Callithrix jacchus: one gene and its partners. The protein of the gene in region 3 purifies or fractionates together with the protein of the main gene of each other region. This does not show direct contact. Links are inferred from orthologs where the notes say so. Each region holds a gene or a part of one and is shown on either strand. Other genes may lie near its edges.

Evidence for each region.
Region 1: the proteins of GTPBP4 (region 3) and NSA2 purify together in Homo sapiens (affinity purification with mass spectrometry; 3 studies listed by BioGRID and IntAct, counting the BioPlex papers as one, with this or other methods). This does not show direct contact. The link is inferred for Callithrix jacchus from reciprocal best matches to the Homo sapiens genes GTPBP4 and NSA2.
Region 2: the proteins of GTPBP4 (region 3) and MRTO4 purify together in Homo sapiens (affinity purification with mass spectrometry; 3 studies listed by BioGRID and IntAct, counting the BioPlex papers as one, with this or other methods). This does not show direct contact. The link is inferred for Callithrix jacchus from reciprocal best matches to the Homo sapiens genes GTPBP4 and MRTO4.

Annotation. Positions count from the first base shown.
Region 1 is NC_133503.1:136,300,157-136,306,142, forward strand, and holds the start of NSA2 (ribosome biogenesis protein NSA2 homolog), read right to left. Parts: upstream 3,310-5,986; 5' UTR 3,201-3,309; coding exon 3,198-3,200; intron 1,638-3,197; coding exon 1,450-1,637; intron 1,355-1,449; coding exon 1,204-1,354; intron 71-1,203; coding exon 1-70. UniProt on the Homo sapiens protein: Involved in the biogenesis of the 60S ribosomal subunit. May play a part in the quality control of pre-60S particles.
Region 2 is NC_133508.1:56,163,409-56,169,394, forward strand, and holds the start of MRTO4 (mRNA turnover protein 4 homolog), read left to right. Parts: upstream 1-2,973; 5' UTR 2,974-3,230; coding exon 3,231-3,258; intron 3,259-5,986. Other genes in the region: EMC1 (ER membrane protein complex subunit 1), read right to left, coding at 2,815-2,909. UniProt on the Homo sapiens protein: Component of the ribosome assembly machinery. Nuclear paralog of the ribosomal protein P0, it binds pre-60S subunits at an early stage of assembly in the nucleolus, and is replaced by P0 in cytoplasmic pre-60S subunits and mature 80S ribosomes.
Region 3 is NC_133508.1:12,114,405-12,120,295, forward strand, and holds the start of GTPBP4 (GTP-binding protein 4), read right to left. Parts: upstream 4,191-5,891; 5' UTR 4,165-4,190; coding exon 4,117-4,164; exon of another isoform or gene 3,731-4,116; intron 1,753-3,730; coding exon 1,582-1,752; intron 1-1,581. UniProt on the Homo sapiens protein: Involved in the biogenesis of the 60S ribosomal subunit. Acts as a TP53 repressor, preventing TP53 stabilization and cell cycle arrest.

The DNA of each region.
Region 1 (5,986 bases), on a different chromosome or scaffold from region 3:
TTCGAATAACTTTTAATACTTCTGTTTCTCCCTGGGCACGGACTTTAGGCAGAGGGACTTCCCATTTTCCCTAAAAATATGTCACAGTTAAAGTTTGTATTTAAAGGGCAATGATAAGTCAAATATGCTTTAGTTGTACAAAGCAGTAGATCATTTTTTTGCTTAGCCATCAACACATTTTTGGCTCAACTGTTTTTCTAGAGCTCTGTGTTGACTCCTCACAAGCTGCAAATTAAACAAAACTAGTTAAGTTTATATATCATGGGTACATTAAATAAATTGTTGGCTTAAGCAAAAAATCTTAATGCTGTGTTATGGGTGAAAAAAATACCATCTGTAATATAATGGTGACTTTTATTTTGAAATGGAGTCTTGCTCTGTTGCCCAGGCTGGACCTAATTTTTGTATTTTTAGTAGAAGGTGGGGGTATTATAATATTGGTCAGGCTGGTCTTGAACTGCTGACCTCAGGTGATCCACCTGTCTCTTCTTCCCAAAGTGCTGGGATTATAGGCATGAACCACTGCACCCAGCCGATGGTGATGGCTATAAGCAGTGTATGTTTAATAGCATAACACTGGAAGAGTGTTTTCACCTCTTATGTCTTTGCATTTCTTCCCGAAATGGATTTGTAGATTACTAGTAAGACAAAGCCCTCACCAGATGTTTTATGCCTCCCTGGAGCACAAATTCTATGAAAAAACTGAAGTCGTGTAAGGCAGTAGAATTCTTTAAATATAGATACCTCATATTCTTTTATCTGGATTTCTGCTAATCTGTTCACAGGTGTTTAAAAAAAGCCACATTTTTGTGACCACTTAAGGAGTTTTCCACCATTCTAATTTTTAACTAATTTTGGCATTACAGGGCAGCACAAATAAGAAGCATTTGTATTTTTCTTTAAGACTGCATAACGTCGTGGGTTTTCAAATGGGAAGACAAATACTGTGTTTGAAATTCACTCCTTACTAACTTTTTGTTTTAATTTCATATGGCATTCTAAGAATTTTTTTAAAAAAATTCTAAAACCTTATGAGAGAGCAAGATTTTTATTATTAAATTTACCAAGACTTCAACATCTAAATAATGGGAATAATAGTCGTATTTCATGTGTTTTCAAATTAAACTGAAGAAGTAAGAACCTCAAATTTGAATGTAAGTAATTCTCCTAAACAAAACAAAGACTTAAATTAATACTGCTTACCGCCTTCTCTTTTCGTTTCTGTTTAATCATATTGGAAAGTACTTTAGCTCGAGATTGTCCTTCTCTGTCCAGAAGATAGGCAGGTACTGCTCCCTGTGGAGTCTTCTCATCATTCTTTTGTTTGGTGTTTCTCTTTTCATGCATCTTGATACTACCAAGAAGGAAAAAATACTCAAGATTATCTGTTTTAATAATGATTACTCAAAAGCTGTTAAGTTGTTATTACAAATAAATTGGACCACTTACGTCTTTTTCATTTGTATTTTCTCAGCGTGGCGCTGTTTATGGTAAAGCTTAGCTTTCAGACCAATCATTTTCTTTGCCTTCTTTGAACGTTCATGAGCCTCTCGACTTTCCTTCTTTCTCTTTTTCTCATGGTAATCCAAACGGTATCCATAGCGTTTACGATGTAATTCTATATATTCGTTCTGTGGCTATAATGATGCAATTAATGTTATTTTAATTTTTTAAAGTACTGACAATTATTCTAAAATGCACTCTTTTACATACACTAAAGTAGTTAAGACCCTGTTTCATCCAAATGTTCACTTACTTAAATGATTCTTGCACCAGTAAGTCTATTCACATGATGTAAGTTAAATTTTTGTCAGTTAAATTTTGATCTTGAATATGAGGTTTTAGCGCTTACATCTCTAATAATCTCAGTAGGGAATGGTCCAAAATCTATTAGATCCTGATTAGAGGATCTTTTTTCCTTGACATAATTTGCTTTTTAAATCACGTCTTCATTTCAAATTTTATTTTAAAAATTTAAGTCACTTTCATTGAACCATAATTTATACACAGTAAAACTTGTCCTTTCTAGCTGCGCAGTTCTAACTTTTGACTGACTACAGTTCTATAACCACCACAATCAAAATACAGAGAATTTCTATTTCCCCCTAAAATTGCCTTGTGTCACTTTGAAGTCGATCCTCCTTCCCAACTCTCAATTTGATACCTATCCCTATAGTTTTACCTTTCCCAGAATGTAACAGGGATCAACAGTAGTAAATAGCTTTTTGCATCTGCTTTCTTGCTCTTGGGATTCATCCAATTTGTTGCAGGTATAGGTACTTCAATCCTTTTCATTGTTGAGTAGTATGCTATCGTATGGATATACCACTGTTGATTTACCCAGCGACCAGTTAATAGTTATCTGGGTTGTTTCCAGTTTGGGCTGATTATGAATAAAGCTAAAATAAACAACTGCATTTAAGTCTTCATGTGGACATATGTTTAATGTCGGACAGTTTTCCAAAGTGTATTATTTTGCATTCCAGCAGCAATGTATGGGAAGCTTTTGCATTTTAGACGCGTTTTAAACAGGCGCAAGTCTATTTGTATTTTAAGACTGCAAAAATAAAAATGACACAAAGACAAGTCCAGAACAGAGAAAAATGTTAAGTAACAACCAACAAGGTGTGCTATCACATAAACTTTGCAGCAACTCCACACATACGAACGGTGTGTGGAATGCCACTGTGCAAAGAAACGCATATTAGAGACGTAGCAGACAGACAAAAGATCTGGCAGTTAGATCTGAGCGTTAAGCTCGGCTTCGCAATTCGTTAGCTGCCTGATCTTTGGCAAGGACGCCTTCAGTTTCCTCAGCAGTAAAATGAAGGGTCAGGGATTAACATCTAAGGTTGTAACAAAGCACAGCCACATTCCCATTAGACTGGTGCTGATAACCACGCTTGTAGTGAAATCAGGAATTTGTAGGATTCTTAGCAGTGGATAAAAAAGAAAAAACAAGACAGAGTAAAATCTGTCTTGCTCCAAAGCTTGTATTCCGGCAAATACTCTCCGTGTCTCTAACGTGAAGTTGTTTCCACTTCTCAGAGGCCACCCCAAGGAGTCCACCATCTTTTTCCCTCAGAAGTTCTCATTTCCGCCAAACACCACTCACCCCATGCCCCAGCTCCCTAGAACCCTCAGGTCCTATGAACTGAGACGCCCTATGTCGCGAGCGTCCGAGGCATCCTCCTTACCATGGTGATGGCCGCAGAGTCGCCACTAGCGGCCCCTGGGGTGTAAAAATGCTCTTAATATTCAGGTCTCTGAAACCCAAGAGCCGACACCACGCAGGCCGCGACAGGAAAGGGTAATCTTTTTAAACCGCCGAGTGAAAACCAAGCTCACGCAGCACTTCCGAGCCTCCGTTTTCCGCGTTCAGCTAGGAGAACGGAAGTTGCTGGCTGGCGGCGTTTGGCCGGTGCACCGCCGGAAGTGTTGAAGGGTGGCTGCTCAGGGCGGAAAAGCGGAAAAATCCTACGTTCCTTTAGTTTAGGTACACTGTCGTGTGTTCAGGCAGGCGACGGGACTTGAGGCTGTTGCAGACTTCGGCACGACCTGCGCCTCCTGCTTCAACAACCTAGCGGTGACTAGCTGGACGGCGGTACGCAACCTAATGCCAGGTGAGTAGCGCTCCAAGCTCTGAGACACTGCGGGCCTATGACCCTGTCCTGCGCTGGGTACAGCTGACCTTCCAGGCTGCGACGGACACAGCCAGCCACGGAGGAGGACAGCAGGGTCTACATCCCGGGATCCAGCGATCCTCCGATCTCCGGACTCCCCTCGGTGTTCGCTCAGTGGGGAAGTTTTTATCTTTTTTTTTTTTTTTTTTTTTTTTTGGAGAGAAGGAAAGAAAAAAAAAAAAAGGAGTGAAGGAGAGGAAGCAAGAGGAAGAAAAAGAGGGAGAGAGAACAGAAATGTTGCTTTATTCTAAAAAATGGGTATTCATAATGGCCAATCAATTTCATTTAAACCTATGAGTAGATGTGATGTGGTATTGACAAGAATGTATATTTTGTGTATTTAAAGTGGAGAGCTCTATAAATATTATTGTTTACTTGTTCAGGATCTGAGTTCGAGTCCTGGATATCCTTATTAACTTTCTGTCTCATTGAGTCTTAGTCTCTATGTATCTGGTTGTTAGAATGGTCAGCTCTTATTGTTGCATTGATCCTTTTACCACTATATCTTTGTTACTTTAAAATCAATTTTATGAGATGCGAGAATTGCAACTCCTGCTTTTTATTTATTTATTTATTTTTGCTCTCCATTTGGTTGGTAAATCTTTCTCCATCCCTTTGTTTTGAGTCTTTGTGTATCCTTGCATGTGAAATGGGTCTGGATGTAGCATACCGTTGGGTTTTGGCTGTATCTTTTGATTACGGGATTGAGTCGATTTAAATTTAGGATTACTGCCATTTGATGTTAACTGGCTGTTTTATTCATTCGTTGATGTAAATTCTTCTTTATGTTGATGCTCTTTACTTTTTGGTATATTTTTAGAAAGGCTAATACTGGTTGTTTCTTTCTATGTGTAATGCTTCTTTCAGAAGCTCTTGTAAATTTTTCTCTATCCTTCGGGAGGGCGACTCAAGTTGTTCCGGTCACTGTGGGTAATGTGTGCATGATTGTGAAGGTTACTGAGGAATGAAAACTTACCGTACGGAAAAGTGGAACTACTGGGCTTTTGCAATTGTCAGAAAAGAAAGACAACATTCTGGGTTTTTGGAGGTACAGGGCTGATTTCAGAAATTCCTGAGGTATTTTAGTGCATCGAATCAAGTGCTGAGTGGACTTGCATTTAGTGCCCCCTAGTGCCAGGAAGTAATTCACTACAAGAAAGTACGTCACTTAAAGACACTGCCAATTTTGCCCTTTTACTGCACAGTTGCAGAAGTTCTCTTAATTCACAGCTTGGAACGTGATTCAGTTGACTGGAGCGAAAAGAACTGTAGCAAAAGAATACTTTCATTAATTTTTGGTGCTTGGACTTGAGGCAGTATTTTGTTTTGTTTTTGTGGGGTTTTTTTTTGAGACGGCATTTCGCTCAGGCTGGAGTGCAGTGGCGCGATCTCGGCTCACTGCAGCCTCTACATCCCGGGATCCAGCGATCCTCCGATCTCAGCCTCAAACGTAGAGAGCTACTGGCGCGGGCCACCACGCCTGCCTAATTTTTAAAATTTTTGTAGGACGGGGTTTCACCATGTTGCCCAGGCTGGTCTCAAACTCCGGGGTACAATCAATCCAGCCGCCTCGGCCTCCTGAAGTGTTGGGATTATAGGCGTGAGCCACAGCTCCCGGCTTAGAGGCTTTTTTTTTTTTTTGAGACAGAGTTTCGCTCTTGTTGCCCAGGCTAGAGTGCAATGGAGCGATCTCGTCTCACTGCAACTTCTGCTTCCCGGGTTCAAGCTATTCTTCTGCCTCAGACTCCGGAGTAGCTGGGATATAGGTGCCCGCCACCACTCCCGGCAGTTTTTTAATTTTTTAATTTTTTTTTTATTTTTAGTAGAGGCGGGGTTTCAGCATGTTGGCCAGGCTGGTCTGGAACTCCTGACCTCAGGTGATCCACCTTCTCAATCTCCCAAAGTGCTTGAATTACAAGCTTGAGCTACTGCGCCGGGCCTTTGAGGCAGTTTTTTAAGGCTCCGTCTTTAGAGGGGATCTCATCATTCTCTTTAAAACCAGAACTGATAATAACTAACATTGTATATTTCAGGTACAGTAAGTTATATAATCTCTTTGCTTGGAAAGCAATCCTTCTCACCGCGCCCCTCCCCCCAAATTTCCTCCCCCATCTGCTTCTGTTCTTTGCTTAAATGTCACTATTTTAATGAGGCAGTTTTTCCCTTACAGTTCTAACTGTCCCAATTCCTCTTTGCTGCTTAATTCTTCTGTACAGCACTTACCATCATAGGAGAGACTGTGTATTGTATTCATTACTTTTGTTTGTTGTCTCTATCCCCTGACTAGGATAGAGGCAGTATGA
Region 2 (5,986 bases), about 44 Mb from region 3:
GTTTGTTTTTTGAGATGATCTCAAAAAACTATAGTCCCAGCTACTCAGGAGGCTGAGGTGATCCTCCAACCTCAGCCTCCTGAGTAGCTGGGACTATAGGCACCCGCCACCATGCCCGGCTAATTTTTGTATGTTTTGTAGAGATGGGGTTTTGCCATATTGTCCAAGCTGGTTTGAACTCCTGGGCCCAAGCCATCCACCCCCTCAGCCTCCTAAAATGCTAAGGTGATGGATGTGAGCCATCGTGCCCAACCTGTGTCTTGGTTTTTAACAAAATAGTTTAAGACTGAAAAAAAAATTTTTTTAGTATTGTAGGAAAAAGCTCACAGAATATTGATATAAGGAAAATATTATTAACTCAGGCATGGTAGCATGTGCCTGTAACCCCAGCTGCTAAGGAGGCTGAGGCAGGAGGTTTGCTTGAGCCCAGGAGTTCAAGATCAGCCTGGGGAACACTGCAAGGTCCCATGTCAAAAATAAATTTTAAAAATATATGTTTGTACAGCTGTAAAGGGTGTTTGTGTTTTACATTAAGTATTATTACAAGTCAAAAATTTTTTAAAAATAAAATGTAAAGTTAAAAAGCTGCATTAAGCTGAGGTTAAATTATTATTGAAGAAAGAAAAATATCTTATAAATGTAGTATAGTCTAAATGTACAGTGCTTATGAAGTCCACAGTAGTTGCACAGTAATGTCCTAAGTCTTTATATTTACTCACCGCCCACGCACTGACCAACTCCACAACAATTCCTAGTCCTGCAACATACGTTCATGGTAAGCGCCCTATACAGGTGTACCAGTTTTTATCTTTCACACCCCATTTTTACTATGCCTTTTCTATGTTTAGATACACAAATATTTACCATTGTGTTACAACTGCCTACAGTTTTCGGTACAGTAACACGCTGTTCAGGTTTATAGCCTAGGAACAGCAGGCTATACCACATAACCTAGGTGCGCAGTGGGCTAAACCATCTAGGTTTAGGTAAGTACGCACTACAATGTTTGCACAAAAGTGCATTTCTCAGAATGTATTCCCATCATTAAGTGATGCATACCTGTAATTCTTCTGTTTATTTTTCAATCTGAAAACTGTAGACCATGTGCAGTGGCTCACACCTGTAATCCCAGCACTTTGGGAGGCCAAGGCAGGTGGATCACTTGAGCCCAGGTGTTCAAGACCAGCCTGGTCAACATAGCAAAACCCAGTCTCTACAAAAAAATACAAAGAAACTACAGAAGTGTGCACCAGTAGTCCCAGCTACTGAGGAGGCTGAGGTGGGAGGGTCACTTGAACCTGGGAGGTTGGAGCTGCAGTGAGCTGTGATTGTACTACACTCCAGCCTGGGTTACAGAATGAGACCTTGCCTCAAAAAAAAAAAAAAAAACCTGAGTCCTTTGCCCCCTCTCATCAGCCTAGCCTGGCCCTGGGCACAGAGCAGGGTTACCCAACACACGAAGCAGCTAGGAAATGCCATTCATTCATTCATGAAAAGAGGCCAGGCACAGTGGCTCACGCCTGTAATCCCAGCACTCTGGCAGGCCGAGGCGGGTGGATCACGAGGTCAAGAGATCAAGACCATCCTGGTCAACATGGTGAAACCCCGTCTCTACTAAATACACAAAAAATTAGCTGGGCTTGGTGGCGCGTGCCTGTAATCCCAGCTACTCAGGAGGCTGAGGCAGGAGAATTGCCTGAACCCAGGAGGCGGAGGTTGCGGTGAGCCGAGATCGCGCCGTTGCACTCCAGCCTGGGTAACAAGAGCGAAACTCCGTCTCAAAAAAAAAAAAAAGAAAGAAAACTGCATTGACCTAGTATTCTGCAAAATTAGATACACATGTCACCTGCTATATATGTGTAATATACACATATGACATTTAAAATGTGACTTATGTTCTATTTGTCACACTGTCTGGCATAACAGGTACTCGACATATATGTGAATCAACTTTTCCAAGACAGAAAATACTTCAGAGGAGGAGAAATCTGAGCTGGGCCCTGAAGAATAAAGTGTAAATAGCAATAACAACAAGTAACATTTAGTGACATTCAATGAGCCAGGCATTGTGCTAAGTAAGTGGATTGTCTCATTCATTCTCACAAGCACTGTAGGAGATAATGGACTGTTACTAAACCCATTCTACAAAGACACCAAGGCACAGAGTGGTTATGTCACTTTCCCCAAAATCACACAACTCTTAATTGGCAAAATTCAAACAAAAGCAAGCGACTCCAGGGCCCTGAGGAGGACGTGGGTGGGTGAATGAATGAATGAATGAATGGCATCTTCTAGCTGCTTAGTGTTTTCGGCAATTCTGCTCTGAGCCCAGGGCCAGACTAGATTGAGAAGAGGGGGGAAAGGACTCAGTTTAGGACTTTCAAGAAGAAAGTCCTGTTCACATGTCTACAAGACACCAATTCGAGTAGGCATTAAAGTTCACTGACGGCTTGGGGACCTCTGACACCTGGTAGACCAGAAACTTGACAGTCAAAGAAATGGAACCTGACGAGAGGGAGGACGGGATCAGTGACCTCTGACCAGCAAGCACCCCAAGCATGACTGCATGGCAGGGCCGGCTTACACACAAGGATCAGCTTAGAGGGAACTCTAATACTTGGTTTAAAGCTCTGCTTCCGACGACTTTAAATCCTTAATAATTTTTGAACAAGGAGCCACGTTTTCATTTTGTACTGGTCCCGCAAATTATGTAGCCAATACGGCTACATGACAACCCCCCTCCCTTTAGCAGGTAGGAGACGGGTACTAAGGAAACAGCCACTTATCTCTCGAATATATTCCACACGTACGCACCAATCAAACTTGCCCACTTGATCTTCGTAGACCGCGGCCACAGAAATCAGCAGGGTAGCCCAAAGCCAGAAATAAGAAGCCCACTCCGCCGCCATAATGCGAGCGTAGGCACCGCCCGCCGCCGTCCCGGCATACACCGCGCCGCGGCTCCACCTCCGCGGGACCAAAGAGCTGGGACCTTGTATAAGGTCCTCGGTGGGACGCTCGGGGTTCGTGGGCCGCCTGAGTACGCAGGAAGACGCCCCACAGACGCAGGAGAAAGTGCAGGCGACGCCTCGGCAGAGACAGGCGGGCTGCAGCGCATATTGGGTCAGGCACACGCGAGGGGCAGCCCCCCGAGGGCCGTCCCAGAGGTCCCCGCGCCGCCGGGGTCTTAACGGGGTGCACCGTCTTCCGCCGCACGTGGATTCAACGCGATGCCCAAATCCAAACGCGACAAGAAAGGTGGGCGAAGGGAGCGTTGGGACTCTTTGGGGAACTTCGCGGGCTGGCTGCCCAGCCTGCAGTGAGGGCTTCGGGCGGCGGGGATGCAGAATAGGACGTCAGGAATATCTACGAGGTCTTCTGCTGCCTTGCTTTGTGCTGGAATGGGGGCTTCGGGGCTGTAGAACCGCCAGAGGGGGCTGATGCCTGGTGGTATCCAGAGAGCCGGGACGCTTTTGCCTAGTTTAAAGTGCTCTTGCAAGGCCAACTGGGCCGGGAGACAACACCTGAGCACCCCCCACTCGTTTCGGCCCACTTTTCCCAACCTCGGCCCTTTCTCAACTTCCTGCGCTCCCGCCACCCTGGCTGCCTTTCTACTTTCCCTTCTTCCAGCACAGGCTTGTTCAAGTTGTCGCATTGTGTATCTGCGGTTGTTTCTGCCTGGCATGCTTATCTCTTGCATGGCTTGTTCTTTCTTAGCTGTCAGTTAACAGGACCTCTCTGAGACAGTGTCTCGCTTCGTTGCCCAGGCTGAGGTGCAGTGGTGCGATCATAAGTCACTGCAGGCCGGGCACGGTGGCTTACGCTTGTAATCCCAGCACTTTGGGAGGCGAGGCGGGTGGATCATCTGATCTGAGGTCGGGAGTTCGAGACTAGCCTGGCCAATATGGTGAAATCCCATCTTTACTAAAAATACAAAAAGTTAGCTGGGTGTGGTGGCGGGTGCCTGTAATCCCAGCTACTTGGGAGACTGAGGCGGGAGAATCGCTTGAACCCGGGAGGCGGAGGTTGCAATAAGCCAAGATCACACCACTGCACTCCAGCCTGAGTACGACAGAGCGAGACTCCCTCTCAAAAATAAATAGATAGATAGATAGATAGATAGATAGATAGATAGATAGATAAAATAAGTCCCTGCAGCCTCGACCTCCTGGGCTTACGTGATCCTCCCACCTCAGCCTCCCGAGTAGCTGAGACTGCAGGCGCACACCACCACGCCCAGCTAATTTTTTGTCTTTTTAGTAAAGATGGGGTTTTACCATATTGGCCAGGCTGGTCTCGAACCAGGGTTTTTTTTTTTGTTTTTGTAGAGATGACTCTCGGTATGTTGCCAAGGCTGGTCTGGAACTCCTGGGCTCAAACAACCCTCCAGCCTCAGCCTCCCAACGTGCTGGGATTACAGGCGTGAGCCACTGCGCCCGACTTGAGCACCTCTTAAGAGACTATCTTTGGCCACCTTTGCTGTGGTGGCATCTCTCTCCACCCCTTTCCCTGGCATATTCAAAAATATTTAGGGATCTGTCACTTTCTAGGCATTGGAGGATACAGCAGTTACAACAAGGAAGGCTTATTTCTCATCAAGCTTAACGTTTTAGGGGAAACACATTCCACAAAATGCTAAAAATCAGACTGAGTAAACACGGGGTGAAGAGACGGCGATATTTTTTATAATGTGGTCAGGAAAAGTCTCACTGATGAGGTGACAAATGAACAAAAAATCGAAGAAAGGAAGTGAGCAACCTGTAGAATTGTGCACCTGTAGAAATACCTGGGAGAGTGCTGTTCCAAGTAGAGGGAACATGAAGTGAAGAGGCTCTGAAGTGGGAGCAGATTGGACATGTTTGGGACAAGAGGCCAGTGTGGCTGGACAGAAGGAGCCAAACAGAGTTGGGGGAGAGGGTTAGGCAGAGAGAGCAGCAGGTCTTCCTCAGCCTTGGTAAGGCTTTCCTGCCTAGAGTTCAAGCAGAAGATTCATGTGATTTACCTTTACTTGTAAAGGGTCACACTGGTTGCCCTAGTGGAGACTAGCTGGGGAAGACAGGTCAGAGGGCAGGGATGGAAGCAATGAGGCCAGTATTAATCCGAGAGAGGGTGATGCTGGCTTGGATCCCAAGGTATAACAGTGGAAATTATGGGAAGTGGCCAGCTATATTTCTTTTGCCCTCCTTGCTGGTGTGATTGTCCTTGTCTGTGGTGCCTTGTTAAGAGGGGCTGAGTGCCAGGCAGGTTAAAGAAGAGAGGCCGAGGCCCTTTTGTGAGAGGGCACCCAGGACTTTGCAGTTGGAGTTCTTTTAAGTGATTCTGGAACAATTTGATTCTGTGCAGAGGGCCTGGGTCAGGTCTGGCAAATGTCAGACTTTTTGGGTAAAGGGTAAATTGGACCCCAGTCATTTTTACAATAGAGGTAACATGTTCCTCCCCAGAGAGGTGTTGCTGCATCTGTGAGTCTACATTGCAAAACTGGAGCGCAGATACGTAACAGGAGGCTGAGCCCCAGACTCGCTGTTTTACCGCATAGGCCAGCGAGAGTGGCCTCTGCATCATGGTTGAGGGCAGAAAGGGGCTGGGTGCGGTGGCTCACACCTATGATTCCAACTGTTTGGGAGGTTGAAGTAGGCAAATCTGTTAAGCCCAGGAGTTCAAGACCAAGCCAGACAACATGGCAGAATTCATCTCTGCAAAAAGTAGAAAAATCACTTGGGTATGGTGGTGGATTTCTCTGGTCCCAAACAAAATGAGCAGACCATGATGGTGTGTGTCTGTAGTCCTGTGTGGGAGGATTGCCTGAGCCCAGGAGGTCAAGGCTGCAGTGAGCCGAGATTATGCCACTGCAGTCCAGCCTGGGTGGCAGAATAAGACCCCATCTCAAAAAAAAAAAGAGAGGCCTGTCTCAACTGGCAGGTGAGGTCTGCCACCGAGAGCACTCCCAGCAGCAGGAACAACCTTCACCCCTCACACTGTAACCAAG
Region 3 (5,891 bases):
CGCTCATAACGAACCAGACAGATGAGAAGCATTCAATGAACGACAAGTTAATCTAACTCTCCACTCTGAAACTGTCCTCACATAACTAGCCCCGGCTTTAAAAGAGATAATAGAATGTTAATACATCTGAATTCTCCTACCTCTGATGTATATAATACTGAGGATGAAAAAGATAAAACTTCTTAAAAAGAACCACAAACATCTGATACTCAGTAGATCAAAATATGTTGTTTGCTAAGATCAAGTGTCTCCTAATACCAAATCAGTTTAGAATAATCTCTTTCTTAATCACTTTCCTTACCCCCAGGTACTCTCTCCCTTTCCCAAGAAACCATCCACTCATTCAAGAAGCATCTACTGAACAACTGTATCAAACCCTGGATAGATACAACCTAAGTGTCTGTCAATTCTAAATTCTAGCAGGAATTTTTGCCTTTTATTTTAAGCACTTTTGTCTTTTAGTAAGTCATTATTACTTGTTTAAATAAAAAGTACTGTCACAGAAGCCAAATGTTTTTCTCTGCCTCCACCTACCTTCAGGGACTATTCCGGGGCAATGGTAGATTTAGGCTTTAAGACTATACTGCTGATCCCCACACCCTTCACAACCTCAAGTAATCTTGCAACCACACTGCCCTATACACGGTGTCAAGGCTTTGTCAGCAGTGCCTGCCAATCAGTTTCTGCTCTTGCTTTTCTATAGCTCAACAGGCAGGCTGGGTATGGTGGCTAACGCCTGTAATCCAGCACTCTGAGAGGCAGACACAGGAGGATCACTTGAAGTCCGGAGATTAAGTCTAGCCTGGCTAACATGGTGGAACCATCTCTACTAAAATTACCAAAAATTCGCCAGGCATGATGGTGTGCACCTCTAATCCCAGCTACACAGGAGGCTGAGGCACACGAATCACCTGAACCCAGGAGGTAGGGGTTGCAGTGAGCCGACACTACGCCCACCACTACACTCCAGCCTCGGCAAGAAAGTGAGGCTCAGTCTCAAAGAAAAAAAAAGAAACAGGCAAACTGCAATGTGTGGCAGAGAAGGGAGCTCAAGGTTTCTGGCTTAATGAAAAAAGCATAGCTCCTCATGTGACCTTGCCAGAGAAGAACACAGTACTGAACTGACTGTCATCCACTAATGAAGCAACAAGGTCACAAACAGTGGTGGACTTTATGCCACTGACCCAAGCTGAGCTGAGGAGGGAAAAAACCCTTGAAAAGAGGGTGAAGGAGATGCACCAGCGAGCTGTCAGCTTCTGCGTTCCTAACCCACAGCTACCATTACCACTTGGGTTCACCCCTGCAAGCTCAGGGATTACACAGAAAGCCTGAGAAGCAGCTTTGTGCCCCCTTAGACAGGGTTTGGTTGGAGGAAAGAGAGACTATTAGAGAATCAAAAAACCCATATTCTGTTCCCACTTTTATTAATTCAACAAGATGGTTCATTGCCAGTAACTTACTGAGCAGTCTAAGTCAATTATCCTGTCTCCCTTTCTGTCACATGAGTACACAAAACTGGTTAAACACTGGTTCCCTGAAGGCTCATATTTACATAAACATAGAGTCCCCCAAGTCACTTACATCCAACTTAGGAAAATCTGTTAGAATTTGTGAAAGTCTATCATGGTAATTCTGTTGAGTAAATTTGACTTTTCTCATGTAAAAATGTCTAATGCGATGAATTTGGTAATGTTTATGAATAACGGTTGGAGTCTTTCGTTGAGTCTTCGACAATGTCAGGTCAATAAAGTCCTGCAATTAAAGAAAATAAGCCATAATTAAATCAAAAGTATCTACTTCTGATCCATTTATTTGAAACCCTCTTAAAACACTGACATCTTACAGTACTACGTATTTTAAATTACAAAATTTTACTCTAACTGTTTCATATACAACCTTGTTCATTTTTACAGTTTCTAGCCTTTAAGAAACACATGGCTGCTAAGATAAATTTTACCCCATAATTTCTTGGTGCTATCTTAATTTCCAAATACCTAAGAACCTTTGAAGCTTAAGTAGTCAGAGAACTCAACCATAAATTAGAAAAAACAGTTGAGAAAAAGAAACAATCCTCCCATTTCTTTACGCATATCTTGGACTTTGAAAATACATAAAATAACAGGTAAAACTAAAACCCACTGTTTAGAATTTCCTAAGAGCATGGAAGGGGACTATTTGAGGAGATGAAGGATTTTTAATGAGTTTCCCAGTGCAAAGAGTCAGCACTTCTCTTTAATAAGGATCCGATCCCAAGGATTTCTCAATCCGATGTATCTAGCCACTACCTAGGCACACAAAATTACTTGATCTTTTTTCTTGAACACTTTGATTAATTCAACAATTTGATTCAGTATTATTTCATACAAAGGTTGTTGGGATACTCAGGTGCTGAACATAATGAACAAGATACTGTCCCTTCAAGGAATTCAGGGTCCAGTGACAGAAGTATCGTACCAATCGTCTGCCAAGTATCGTACTATGAGGGGCACGCACATTCTCCCCTCTGGGCCTACACAAGATCTCCCCTACATTCTTCTGCACCTAATGGTATTCACACATCCTGAAGGAGGCACAGTTCAAATGTTACCTACTTCAGGAGGTTGCCCTTGACTCTCATACTAACCACAGCTACTTACACTCTTATCCTCTCCCAATCCATGTGTGTCCTCCATGATAACCATGTTTTATTTCTATTATGGTCAAAAGTGATTCTGCTTACCCCTCTTGAAAATGACTTCCAAATGACTTCCAGGTATTTTATGCATTTTTTGTAACACAGTACCTGATGCACAGGACAGGCGTTCACTTAACATCTTCTAGGACGAACTGAATCCCAAACTTTCCTGGTGTAATTTTTTTAAACTTCCAATTACCAAACAATTACCATCACCCTTTTCAGATAGGTAAAGTCATCTGTTCTCTAAAACACAAATCTTTCCACAAAACAGAAAACAGATGGTGTACTAATATATTCCAAAGTTCTCCACATAAGTCAATTACATTACCGAAGTTCATATAATCCAAAGAGCAAATTCCATCAACAAACTTGAGATATGGTTGATCAAAAATAAAAAGAAGATATGATTCCTGCACTGGAAAATACTACAATCTGGCTGGGAGTGATGGTTTACGCCTGTAATCCCAGCACTTTTGGAGGCTGAGGCAAGTGGATCACTTGAGATCAGGAGTTCGAGACCAGTCTGGCCAACATGGTGAAACCCCGTCTCTACTGAAAACACAAAAATTAGCCAGACCTGGCGGCGTGCGCCTGTAATCCCAGCTACTCGGGAGGCTGAGGCAGGAGAGTCACTTGAACCTGGGAAGCAGAGGCTGCAGTGAGCCGAGATCTGGCCATTGCACTCCACCCTGGGCAACAAGAGCAAAAAACTCAGTCTCAAAAAGAAAGTCCTGGCTGGGAGTGGTGGCTCAGGCCTGTAATCCAAGCACTTTGGAGGCCAAGGAGGGCGGATCACCTGAGGTTGGGAGTTCAAGTCCAGCCTGACCAACATGGTGAAATCCCATCTTTAAACAAATAAAAATTTAAAAAACAAAAAATAAAAAAAAGTCCTAATGCTCAACACTTTTTGACTCATTCTTGCCACACACACCAACGCTGTACGAATTTAGTCTGGGCCTGCTATAGACAGAAAAAGAACAGGAATTCCCAAATCCAACAGTGAAAGAGAATGATTTAAAAATTAAGAAATGTTAAATCACGAGAGCAACGAACCGAGGCTTCCAGAGAGAGGAGGGGGCTACGCCAAACCCAGAACCCAAAGGCTCATCATCAACCACCGAGTGCTTCTCCCTTACATGTCGGGGTCCGCCTCCACTCGCCCACCTCGTCACCTTTGGGGCCCCTCCAGAGAACCCTTCTGTAGGCGGACCTCGATCTCCGGGGACCCGGGTCTCTCTGGGCGGACCTCAGTCTTTGGGTGGACCCGGGTCTCTGGGGGGGTCCGATCTCTGGTGGACCCCGGATTCTGTAGGGGGAGGGGAAATGATCACGAGTACGCGGCCAGCAGGTCGGGCCCGGGAGCGGTCTCCCACGGCTACAGGTCCGGACACTCGCCGGCGACCCCGCTAAGTCGGAGTGGCCCTCCCGCAGCCACCTACCTTGGCGGACGGTACCACCGTAATTTTCTTGAAGTTGTAGTGCGCCATGCCGGCTGCCGTAAGCACGCGGGGACGGGGCACTCCCGGAACTTCCGCTATCGGGCGAAGGTGGGACTTCCGCCGACGGGCGCTGCTGGTGCGTCACTTCCGAGAGCTCAGCCCAACGTGTCCTGCGTCCTCTATGGCGCTTTCCGCGTCGCACAGCGCACCCACCCGGCCTGGAGGTCAGCCACGAAGGGCGTGTGGGGGCCCCGTGGGTGAGGGCGTCGGGGAGAGGACGCCCGGATTTTAGGGGGCGCGCGGAGACTAAATTCCTGCTGTGTAAAGCGAGGACTCCCGACAAAAACCTCCGGGTTTTTGGACGCGGGTTCAGGCCCCTAGCCACTGCCCTGGGCCAGGGTTGGGAAGTCTGGGGTCTTGGGATTTGGGTAATGCATGGGGGTTTAGGGGTTCAGAGGCTCTAGAGGATCCAGGAGTCTAGGGGTCCCGGGTCTCGGCGAGACACGCAGAGGAGGAGGGAAGCGCGCGTGTGGGGCATGCCCTGGCTGCGGGTATGGAGCAGGTCAAGCGCCCTCTCCCCTACCCCGTCCTCGCGCGCGTGGTGTTGAGGAGGCCCTTGCGGCTCCCCTGCAGCCCTTTCTCGTACTTGTTAAATCCCAAAACGGGCGGAGAAGGTAAAGCCTGATGTAAGGCAAGCTGGTTCCGCACAGCTCCTCGGGAGAGCCCGGGAGCAGTTGGGAGACAGTTCTGTCGGGTCCAGCTGAGGAGGTTGGTGAGGATAGAGCCTTTGGGCGCTTACTGCGTTCGTGTTTGTGAATAGTGTGGCCACTCCCTTAGGGGACCCAGGGCTACATCCCTTAAGTTAAACCTAAGGTAGGGCTGACTCGGTCAAGCACTGTTCAGAGCTGTTGACTACTATTAACTCATTTAATTCCTGCAACAGCCTTATGGAGTACGTGGGGAATCCAAGGCACAGCAAGGCTCGAAAGCAGCCCATGGTTGTGCAGCTAACGGAGCAGAGGTGAGCTTTGAACCCAGGCACCTTGGCTCCAGCAAACCTGCTTCTGACCACTAGCGGTACTGCTTCTCACACATATGGGATGCCCCCAACTCTCCAGTCTTTTTAAACAAGTCCTATTGTCCTTACACAAAAATACCTTCCATAGATTCCCAACATTCCAATATTGAAAATCATTCTGAGTCATGCGTTTCTCATCTATTATATTAACTATGCTTCCATTTTTGTGTCACAAGCAAGGCAGATAAGCATACCTCCTACAGCTTTGTGGCACTTCTAAAGGAAGATTCTAGGGTAATTAGGATTATTAGCTGGCTATCATCATTTGCTAAACCGCAGACAATTCTGGCCACCATTTCCAAGATTAGCAAAGCTATGCTAGTACTTATTGCCTTTTTTTTTTTAGAATCTCATGTTTCCTCAACCTCTCCCACTTTCTCTCACTCTGACATGCCCAATTCCTCTTTCTTTTTCTTTTAATCTGGTATTTACATAAGTATTTACTTTGCTTCAGTTGTGCAAACATCCTTTCTTTAATTCTCTTCTTTTTTTTTGAGACAGAGTCTTGGTCTGTCGCCCAGGCTGGAGTGCAAGTGGCACAATCTCGGCTCACTGCAACCTCCACCTCCCAAGTTCAAGCAGTTCTCCTGCTTCAGCCTCCTGAGTAGCTGGGATTACAGGCCCTGGCCACCACTCCTGGCTAATATTTTGTATTTTTAGTGGAGATGAGGTTTCACCATATTAGCCAGGCTGGTCT